Linked DNA regions of Drosophila melanogaster. The protein of the gene in region 1 interacts with the protein of each later gene in a pairwise test. Each region holds a gene or a part of one and is shown in the gene's direction. Other genes may lie near its edges.

The links.
Region 2: the proteins of HP6 (region 1) and CG14183 interact in a two-hybrid assay, tested with the Drosophila melanogaster proteins (one large-scale study listed by BioGRID).
Region 3: the proteins of HP6 (region 1) and dmt interact in a two-hybrid assay, tested with the Drosophila melanogaster proteins (one large-scale study listed by BioGRID).

What each region holds. Positions count from the first base shown.
Region 1 is NT_033779.5:4,577,097-4,579,865, reverse strand, and holds HP6 (heterochromatin protein 6), read left to right. Parts: upstream 1-1,647; 5' UTR 1,648-1,762; coding exon 1,763-2,083; 3' UTR 2,084-2,147; downstream 2,148-2,769.
Region 2 is NT_037436.4:20,025,928-20,029,686, reverse strand, and holds the start of CG14183 (uncharacterized protein), read left to right. Parts: upstream 1-1,851; 5' UTR 1,852-1,925; coding exon 1,926-2,661; intron 2,662-2,715; coding exon 2,716-3,040; intron 3,041-3,097; coding exon 3,098-3,387; intron 3,388-3,449; coding exon 3,450-3,606; intron 3,607-3,654; coding exon 3,655-3,759. Other genes in the region: Lamtor1 (late endosomal/lysosomal adaptor, MAPK and MTOR activator 1), read left to right, coding at 735-815, 878-1,041, 1,309-1,442, 1,502-1,572, 1,628-1,720.
Region 3 is NT_033777.3:9,709,281-9,713,039, forward strand, and holds the start of dmt (dalmatian), read left to right. Parts: upstream 1-1,861; 5' UTR 1,862-1,929; coding exon 1,930-2,410; intron 2,411-2,469; coding exon 2,470-3,759. Other genes in the region: trbd (trabid), read right to left, coding at 1-44, 108-235. UniProt on the Drosophila melanogaster protein: Regulator of sister chromatid cohesion in mitosis. Probably involved in development of the central nervous system.

The sequences.
Region 1 (2,769 bases):
CAAGAAATACGTATAAGTATGTATGCATGAGCCAAACCCCTGCGGATTCCTTGGATCGCACTCTAATGATTTCCTGCTTAGGATACTGGGGCTCACCCATAAACCCAAATATGCTGCCGCTTCCCAAGAGCTGTCCCCCTGCCGTCCAATGATTAATGCGCCGATCCTTGTCCGATGCCGATGAGGCGAGAATGGGAATTATGTATTTGGGTTAATGTTACACCGCAGAGCAGCACGGCTGGCATTGCTTTAATTTTGTTTTAACACAAAAATTGCCAAGTACCAGTATTTATTTGATGTGCGCAATGCTGCGATCGGAGCTGTGACTTCGCCTTGGACGGCAATTTCCTTCCGTCGTGGTGGAGCCGCGCATCTTGATCGCCGGGTTCTCAGGCTGTGGCCAGAAAACTGGAATCCCAGAGAACCGATACCATTGCCGACGACGATGCCAGTGCTGCTGGCCATTTCAAAATCTAACTGTTAACTGCAAAAGTTGAACGTACTAGCAGCATGCAACATTCAACGGCTGCACCCACGGCATCAGCAGCATTAACGGCAGTACACTTGAAAAAATATGTTTTGAGAAGGAAAATTATTTCCTATGAAAAACTAATAATATATATGTTCTTAAATATAAAAGCTTTTGGAAAATGTAGAAAAAGTTTATGTTGTTTCTAAATACTTTTGGAATTAATTATTTTTCTGGAATACATACACACCGAGCCAAATATTCTTACACAAAAATCGATTAAATTGAAGAACTCATACATCACTTTCCTCAGTGTATGCAACTGCATCTGAGCGGGCAGCGAAACGAGTTGAAAGCCGTTTTCCCTGTTTGCCAGCCAGCTCTTGAAAGTGGTTTGTTGTCTAACTGCGTTAGTTGCTGCTTTAAATTGTGCGCCCAAGCAGCTCCAGCGGCGTTTAATGGCTCCAACTGGCGACCGGAGACCTCGGCTTTAACTGGCCACCCCGCCACCGACTTCTGTTTCTGTTTCTGATTCCGAATCGGATTCTTTTTGTTGCTGCAGCGGGTTCTCAGGCGGCGTTGGCTAAATGTCATAGCGGCGGATGCACCGAGCAGATTAATCATTAATCACATGCCCATCTGAGAGTACGAGACTTCCAATATGCGGAAATTACTGGCAGCTAGCTGTAGTATCCATATGCCCCATTCCCACCATCCCCATCACCTGGTGGCCGATCATTTCCGCCGACGAGTTGGGTTCCTTTATTTTGCCTTTATTTTGACACTGGGCCAGCAACGGCAATTACTGGCGGCGGTGCCACCGAAAACCCTCCTCCCTTCCGCCCTGATTTATGAGTTTTTAATGAGCGGCCACTTTACACGAATTCAAGTTAACAAGTGGAGCCGCGTAAGAGGCCAATATCGCAAGTAGTATCGCCGGCAATCGCGCCTTGACATTCGAGTCGTGCGAAATGTCAGATGAAGATGCACCAATGATACGCTCAATGGGCGTTGGAATGCACAATACCCTAACTAAATCTGAAAGAATATGTCCAGTCAAGGGGAGTGTACAATTTTATTTCCATTTTCTCTAACGCTTTTCAAATTAATCATTTAGGGCTGCCACATCGAAAGGGTTGCCAAAGCATGTCGATACCTACAGTTATCGAAACTGAAAAATAATATCTCGGTGTGTAAACACTTGACAAAACGTGACAATTGGCTACGCGCGTCGAAAAAAGAAAAATAGATTACATTGAAATAAATCCCACGATATCTAAAACCAAACGGAAGATGCCCAGCTCCACTTTGACGTCCTCTACTGCTCTTCCGGTGAAGCAACGAAATGGATTTGATCTTGGACTCGAACCGTTGCGGATCTTAGGAGCCTGCAACTGGTCCGGTAAGCTGACCTTTTTGATGCAGTGGAAGGGTTGCGACGAAGCCGGCCTGGTGCCCGCCGAAGTGCTCAACGTTCGGTGCCCCCAAATGGTCATCTCGTTCTACGAGGAGCGTATTGTGTTCACGGATGAGGGCGATGAAGAAGACTTGGAGTCGGACAATGGGTATGAGACCACTCCGAGTCCCAGGAAGAAACGATCACGAAATGCCTAGTCCATAAAACTATTGTGCACCGAAGACATTGCGGTGCAATGTCAATAAAGAGTATTGACTCTTCTGCCACGAGTTTTTCTTCATTTTCTGGTCGCCGTTGTCGCTGGTGATTGATTATGCATTTTCATGCGAACTGGTTGCTGATGCTGCACTTTGTTGGCATGCGGGCAGGTGAATAAGTGAGTTTAGCTCGGCCCAGCCACGCCCTCCGCCTCCTAGACGCAGCTTGATGTTGGAGACAGGCCGGCGGCATTATCTGCCGGGCGCGAAATTATACGTGTATGTATACACCGAGCGAAAAGTCTGTAGGGGTATTTGAAAGTTCATAAAAAAAACAGTTCATAAATGGTGCACTTGCCTCATTAAACTTTTTCCAGTGCACTTAATGCTGTCAGTGACCTTCACATCGGGGCGTTGGAAAACCTGCAATTAGAAAAGAAGGTTAAGCCGCAGGATCAGACTCAGCTCTCAGATTCCATGTTGCAGGCGCCTCAAGATTCACGCAGTCAACTAATACGTACATAAAAAAAAGGGTTAAATTGGTGGCGCACCTTTCTTGCAGCGACATTTTGACATTGAAAAAGTATAATTAATTGAGGGGCCCACCAGCAGGTGGGCGTGGCCAGGGGCAGATTAAATCGATTTATGCAAGATTTATGGCAAAAGCGCACAAGAAAGAGAAGAAG
Region 2 (3,759 bases), on another chromosome or scaffold:
GCAAAAGCTGTCAGCACTGCCACACATGCCCCCATGTCATGCAGCCTCGGCAATGAATTTGCGTTTCCGCCTCGCCGCTTTCGCCATCATGGTTAACCGCGTCGTTGATTTAAGGGCGTTCTCCGTTCCTTGCGAGTAGCTGGCGTACTCCGCATCCTTTGTCCTTACTGCTCGAGCGACACAATTAAAAATGTGCGGCCCAATTCATTTGATTGGCACGAAGGAAGCGACGAGATAAGCAACTTCCGTTGGCTGAAATTTTGGCATCTTCATCAATCAAGAATGTGCTCGTTCTCGTGGGCTGGCTGTTGGGGAAAATGTCATATAGGTTGATAGAAAAAACAGCAATATAAATATTTCAAATTAATAATTGATGTCTACCAAAAGCAGTTAAATTTTTTAATATCTTCACAATTATTGCCGATTTCCAATAAAAATATAACAAATTAATAAAGTATAAATTTAAATCAACTTAATTCCCAATAAAAAGTATTTCATAATAAATAAAACAAGGATAACGCTAGGAACAGTAAGTAATAAACTAGTATTCCCTTATGAAAACCCATGAATTTAATGTCCGATTAAAATTGTAATATTTAGCGCCTAATCGATAACAAGTATGTATACAGCTGTTTTAAACTGTCTGGTAGCACTGATCTTATCGAATATGTACAATTCCATCCCTAGAAAAACTTGCATAAAAAATAAAGAACAATTGAACAATTGCATTTAGAATGGAGTATGTGCACTCTGTTTGGAGCTACCTAGCCTCGATCTGCAACTGCTGGCAATGCACCGAAGATCCAGGTGCGCAGGTAATCCGCACATTCCCCTTTCCCCGTCAACAGACCGAATACACAATGCGTTCCATCTGCAGCCCAACGAGCCGAACGAGCGGACACACCTTCTCGTGGACCCGGTGAACCATAGTCCTGCCCTTCGACGGAGCAACTCCGATGGCCTCAGCACCGACTACGCCCACTCCCTTCCCAAGAAGGACGATCAGAACGCCCTCTCCAGACTGGTGCAGAATACTGCGATGTACGTAGTTGATAGTGTATAGGGTCCACATTTGGCACTATCATATACAATTCCATTGATTGGAATGCTAGCATTTTACAGCGATTGCTATACTATACTATACTATAGTAGTATACCTACGTAGTTATAGCGATGGCAGGATCTAGTATGTAGTATGGTTATACCCAAGCATTTATCGGGATGTTCAATGCAACAAAGCAACACAGCCCTAATTATCGCTTATCTATATTATATTTGTATTCGCTTATACGCTACTTTGCTCTCCAGAAACATGATAAACGTTGGAGCCATGGACTGTCACAGCCTGGAGCACCAGGAGTACGCCGATAGAATAAGATTGTACTCGCAGCGGTTGCATCAACAGTGGAACAACGGCCAGCACGCCAGTATCGCACCAAAAGGTTTGCAATATAGCTAGATTGAAAGGGTGAATGATGACTAACAATTAAATGAACAACAGGTCTCCTTAAAGATGTACCAAGCCATCAGTTCTATCTGTCTAAGCCAACCTATCCAGATGACACTGCTCAAGTGAGTTTTACTTTTCGCAAATTGCTTGTTGCTTACCAATTTCGTATGTTTTTAGATGAAGCTCTTCACCGAGAAGGCACACATCAGTGTCTCGCACATACAGATCGACCACAAAGAGGCCGTGGTTGTTCCCTTCCGGATTCCCTGATTATCGTATCTTAAGTGAAATAAAGTGATAAATTTATATAAAATCAAAATCTATATTGGTACTAAGTAGCCCTTGAATAACCAGGTAATCGACTTATTTTCATTAAGTGTACAGAAGCAAATAAATACATACTATATTCTTAACACGGCAAGACATTTTTTTTATTTAGGAAGGCACACACACACACATATAGCTAAAATCCAAAATGTCGTTCGATCTTAACCATAAATTTTGGGTCTACACGCGCAAGGAAATTGGTAAATTAATCAAGAAGCAGAACCGCCTGAAGAAGATTGAGCCGCCAGAGGAAAAGGCAGTATCGTATAAAATTTACGCAGAGCTCTATGTTTTGTATGTGGAGCTGGTCAATAAGTTAAGTTTCATATACCACAATACTTTCCAAGTGCAAAAGCGGGCATTGGTACGTGTTTTGGTGGAGAATGCCACTCAGCAGCTAATGCAACTCAAGGAGGAGTTAAAAGACTTGGAAATGAGCGAATACATTTACATAGATAAGGCGCTGATCGCTAGGAAGCTAACACCACGGGACCTGGTCGTATGGAGGTCACCACAATTCCTTTACCGTCGCCCGTTGGACATTCAAAATATCATTGCCGACAACCGATTGTACATGAACGATGAGGAAAAGGAAGAAAAGGCAGCCCAGGATTGGGTTCCGATCAGTGAGGCGGTCAAGCTTATCCAAGCTCACGAGAGGGCGCGCCGAGCTCGGGTTTACAAGTCCAACATAAAGTACGACAAGAAAAAGTTCCTCAAGGTCCATCAAAGAAAGAAAATAAATTACAAATTCACCTTTAAGCCTGATCAGGCAATGAGTATTCCCGTGAAGAGAACCATTTTTTCAGCTGACTTCTTGAAGGCGGACGAGTCCTGCGAAAATCTTATCAAAAAGGATGATGTAGCGGATACCGCAATAGATGGCAAGTAGCTAGATCGTTTCAAAACAATTAATTTGGTTTTTAATTATTTTCTAGATGAGGAAGCCTTAAGTGCAATACAGAACAATGCTGCTTGTAAAATCCAAAGTTGTTGGCGTGGTTACAAGACGCGGAAAATAGTTAAGATTAGGAAGCGGTTCAAGGAGGAATTGTATGGTATGAAGAAAATTAGGAAACTGAAGCGACCCAATCAGACGGCAAATTCTATTATGGAAATGTACAAGAACGAGATGCTCAAGAAGAAGCTGGATGAGGACTTCATCAACTTGATCAACGATGAGCGCACCCGATTGCTGCAATTCCGAAGTCCATGGATGATGGAAGATATATCCGATCATATCCGGGCATGGTTCAAGGAATTGTGAGTTGTTTTTCATTGAGGCAAAAAAGGCAAAAACGTATAACTCGTACTTAACAGCTACGACGCGACTGGGAATTTTCATCCTTATCCCGATCCTGTAAAACAAGGAACGGTACTGGTTGTCATTGATGAAACAATGACGCCAATGGAATTTCAGGAAAGCCTTGGTAAAAAGCCGCTGTCAAAAGCCGAGTTGAAGAAACTTCGCGATAAGGAGAAGAAAGAGAAAAGGAAAAAGAAGGAAAAGCTAAAACAACTGAAAATGAAGGAAGCTAAACGTCGGAAGAAATTGAGAGACGCTGGAGTCATCGATATTGGCTACGAGCTAACTGCAAGCAAGGCAATTGGTAGATAGTTTGACTTAATGGAGAATGTTTCCATTGTCTCCAAATACTCTCTTCAATTTTAGAAAACATTGAAGAAACAATGAAGAAGTACTCCAAGGACTGGAGAAATGTCGATGAATATCTAAACAAGAATCATGATCCCATCAAGGAATGGGTTACTGAGGAGCAACTGGCAAAGATTCATCAGGAAGTGAGGGGCTTGGTCGACGAATACATGAGGTAAATTTATTTATATTTACAATGAAAATATAACTTTTCAACTTCCAGGGTTGAGTATGAGTTGCTGCGGGAGGCCTTGGCGAAGGATAACGATGAGAAGTACAAGGCTCTCAAGGTGAAGTATCCTAAGAAGAAGAAGGAGAAGAGGAAGAA
Region 3 (3,759 bases), on another chromosome or scaffold:
CCGCCTCCTCCGCAACGGTGCAGCTCTCCTGGGCTGGACTCAGACTGCAAGAATTAGCAAGTATTAATTAGCAGAAGATTAGGTATAGATCGTCAGAGTTGTCATACCGGAAGATGTCCTCGTTGAGCAGCGGCTTGGACGCCTGGCACATGGTGCATTTCAGCGAGGATGGGTAGTTCTCGTAGGTGCAAGTTTCACATTTCCATTTCTGCGCATCGTCTTTGGTATCGCACATTGTTTATGCGCGGAGCCGGCCAATGCAGTTGATCTGCCAAGGAGAAAGGGATCATACGTTGAATATTTGATATGGGATACACGAGTGTCACCAAGTAAGGGGATCCCATAAAATATGCTTTTACTAGTCAAATCCACCTGGCTGCCTTTTTTACTTCAAAATAGTTTAATTTCTGAACAATTGTAAGCTTAGACAATCATTTTAGTCGAAGTTGGTTGAAGATACGAAGAGTTTGATCAATAATGTATAGCTATGTTGACTTTTGTCGGAAGTTAATGAGATGTTGCATTCAAAAGAAAAAGATTATCTAAAAACTAATATTGGATTTATAAGTACGCAGGGAAATCTACAATTTGGAGGACATTTCAATTTACCTTGACTTATTTTGCAAAGTATAAAGACTATATGCATGACTCGTTTTGGGGGACAACTATCTACCAATGAATGTATCTACTAAGCTACTATTCTTTGGATAAGCGAACCGAAAGGGTATCCCTAAAGTCGGTGAGCGGCGAATCCACCACTTCCGACTCGTTAATAAGGTCAAACAACGGTTAGCGAGGCAGAAGCAGTGTCCTTGACCCTGAGACATAATTCGCAGATACATCCACAGATATGTACATCTGCCTTGGCTCCATTTCCATTTCCCCCACTGGCGTCACAGTCAGCCTTCGGGTTCTCGTTGCCTGGGATTGGATTGGAATGAATTGGATAGGGTCTGGTTTTGGTAGTAGTGGTGGTATAGGTGGTAGTGGTTCAACTGCTGGGTCGGTTGCATTTATTTGTTGCCATTATAATTCGCCTATGTATGTATGGCATGTGTCGCGTGCGATGTACGTACGTATGTATGTACGCTGGTATGCCAGTTTTCGCGCTAGTTTCTTATTGGGATTCGCCCCGTGCCATCCCAACCATCCCACAACCGCCTCCACCCCCCTTCCCACATCGACGTCTTTACACAGTACCTGGCGCAGAAAATCGCAAGGCCTTTTGCAGCAGTCCCAGAAAACGCGAATGCGACTGCGACCACGACAGCGATTGGATTCGATTCGAATCGAGTCGATTTAAATATATAACACAATCACAATAGGGACCGCGAGTATAGCATTAGTATTATAGTAGCTATAAGGTGTAGTTGCTATAGTCGCCGTCGGCCACCCGCGCCCGCAGCAGCGACACTATGTCGACGTCGATCCAATATTGCCAGTAATGAGCGCTGGCAGCAGGCAGGAAAATCACAATTACAAAACAAAGACGATGAGAAAACTTTCACTCGATTTTCAGTTTGGGGGGTTTTCTTTCTTGCTTTCCTTCTCAATTTTCAGCTGTACTTGCTTGGGGCGCGTGAAACGAAACTGCCCGCACACATTCACGGCGACGAACACACGCACGGTGGATCGTAGTGCAAGGAATTTGGAATTTGGATTATTTGGAAACAGCTAATTATTTATTTTTTACATTATTGCGAGGCCAATCATCTGGTTCTCTGTCCGCCTATCGACAACTATCGGTGCTCCGTCCCTGGCGCTCAGTGTTGAAAAGTGTCTCGGTTAGCTGGTTAGTCAAGCTTCACACCTACTGGTGTTCAGTGGTTTTCATGGCAAGTCTTAGAGATCGGGGGATGGTCATACTAGTAAATAAAATGGCGGGAGCTGTACATGAATTTCATTTGGTAAACAAATTATATTCTTAAAATGGTAAGAACACGGCCGGTGCCGTGTGTTCCGTCGCCAGATGTGAACACCGCAACGAGACGCAATCCCGGGCGTCCCAAGAAACAGTCCATCGGAGCTGACTTAAGCACAACGATAAGCAAACCCGGGCGTCCCAAGAAGCTGTCCATCGGAGCTGATTTGACCACAATACGTAAACCCGGGCGTCCCAAGAAACTCGGAGCTGATTTGACCACGATAATACGAAAACCCGGGCGTCCCACGAAACTATCAAACAAACAATCTTTGACAGCCCTAAACGAGCCAGAGTGTCGCATAAGAAAATGCGTGGTAAAAATAAGGCGCATTAAGGTAAAAAACGGTGTCGTATCCGAAATTTCTCGAAATGATGCGCCTGATGTGGATGCCAGCACTTTTGAGCCGGCTCGCAACTCGACGATGTACATTCCTTCGAAGGTACAGAAATCAACGCAACCCCAAAATATCAAGGAAAATGTGGCAGGTAAGAGGCTCTCACCAGGCGGATGATGGACTTTTCTTGATAAGCACAACTACTTGCAGGTCCCGAAACATCGCCATGTCAGCAACGCATAAGGAGTAAAAGCCCTAGTGGACCGGCAGCTGAGATTTCGCCCAAAAAACCACCTCGTTTCTTCCACAGAGATCAGCCTTTAACCAGGACACGATCATCGGTGACCCGCAACGTTTTCGATTTTCTGTCGCAGTCGCAGATCGAAGATGACAGTGACAGGGAGGATCCGGCGGCAGACATAATTCAGCGTTTGGTTAAGGATGGAAAGGCCTGCGTAATGGTGCGGTCAAGAAAAATCGGCAAACCGAGAGCCAAAAGAACAGCAAAGAAGGTCCGACCTGTGGGTAATCGAAGAAAGGTTTCGACAAAAGACAATGAGCCTGAGCCAGTCAAGGTCGTTCCCAAGTCCATAGAACCGCGCCTTCAAAAGCCATCACGCTCCTTATCGACCATTTTCGAGCCCGAGGAAGATTATAGCAACGATTCGGAGCACGGATACGTGCAGCCCATCGAAGTGCCCGTCCAGGTACATGTGGAGCCGAGCACTTCTAAGCAAGCGCACGAAGGAGCCTACAGTAATTTGGCCCGATCCGTAATGCTTAACCAGACCCAGGCGCAAAATCCACTGCCATCTACAGACAGACGTCGAGAACTTATCAACATGGCGCGACAATTGGTTAGCACGCCGCTGAATCGCAGAGCTCCTCCGGTGACAGATGTTAGTGCCACCACCACTGCATTGTCGCCTATTGCCCACCAGTCTCCAAATGCAGTTAGGACCGCGGGAGGCAAATCCCCCTGGCGCGTTTCCGACGATTCACCATTGCCCAATACTTTCATGTTTGGTTTCAACAACTCCCAGATGCCATCGTACTCCAGTGATCATGTGCAACGTCGGCATGTCTATGTGCCAGATTCGCCGGTAGAGCATGCTGAGAACATCCCTCACGAGGAATCCATTTGTCCGCCTTTGCACGAGCAAAATCATGACTCAAATGCGAACGACTCGAATGAGGAGAACCGTCCCCCTCCCACAATTAGCAAATCGATGTCGATCAATGACCAGGAAAGCGAAGAGAATGCGGAGAACTTTGTGCACCTGCCGAATCCTCGGAGAACGCTGCAGAAACGAACGCCCTTTAAGGATATTAACATACTAGAAGTAGTGACACTGCCGTCTTGGAAGAAGAACGTGACGGCCACTGTTTCAAAAGAAATCACTCCTACCAGAGTGGCACCTCGTCCAATGGCGACGTCATCCCCAGCGCAACGCAGTCAAACGCGGTCGAATCTTTTTGGTTTCGATGATGATTTTGCAT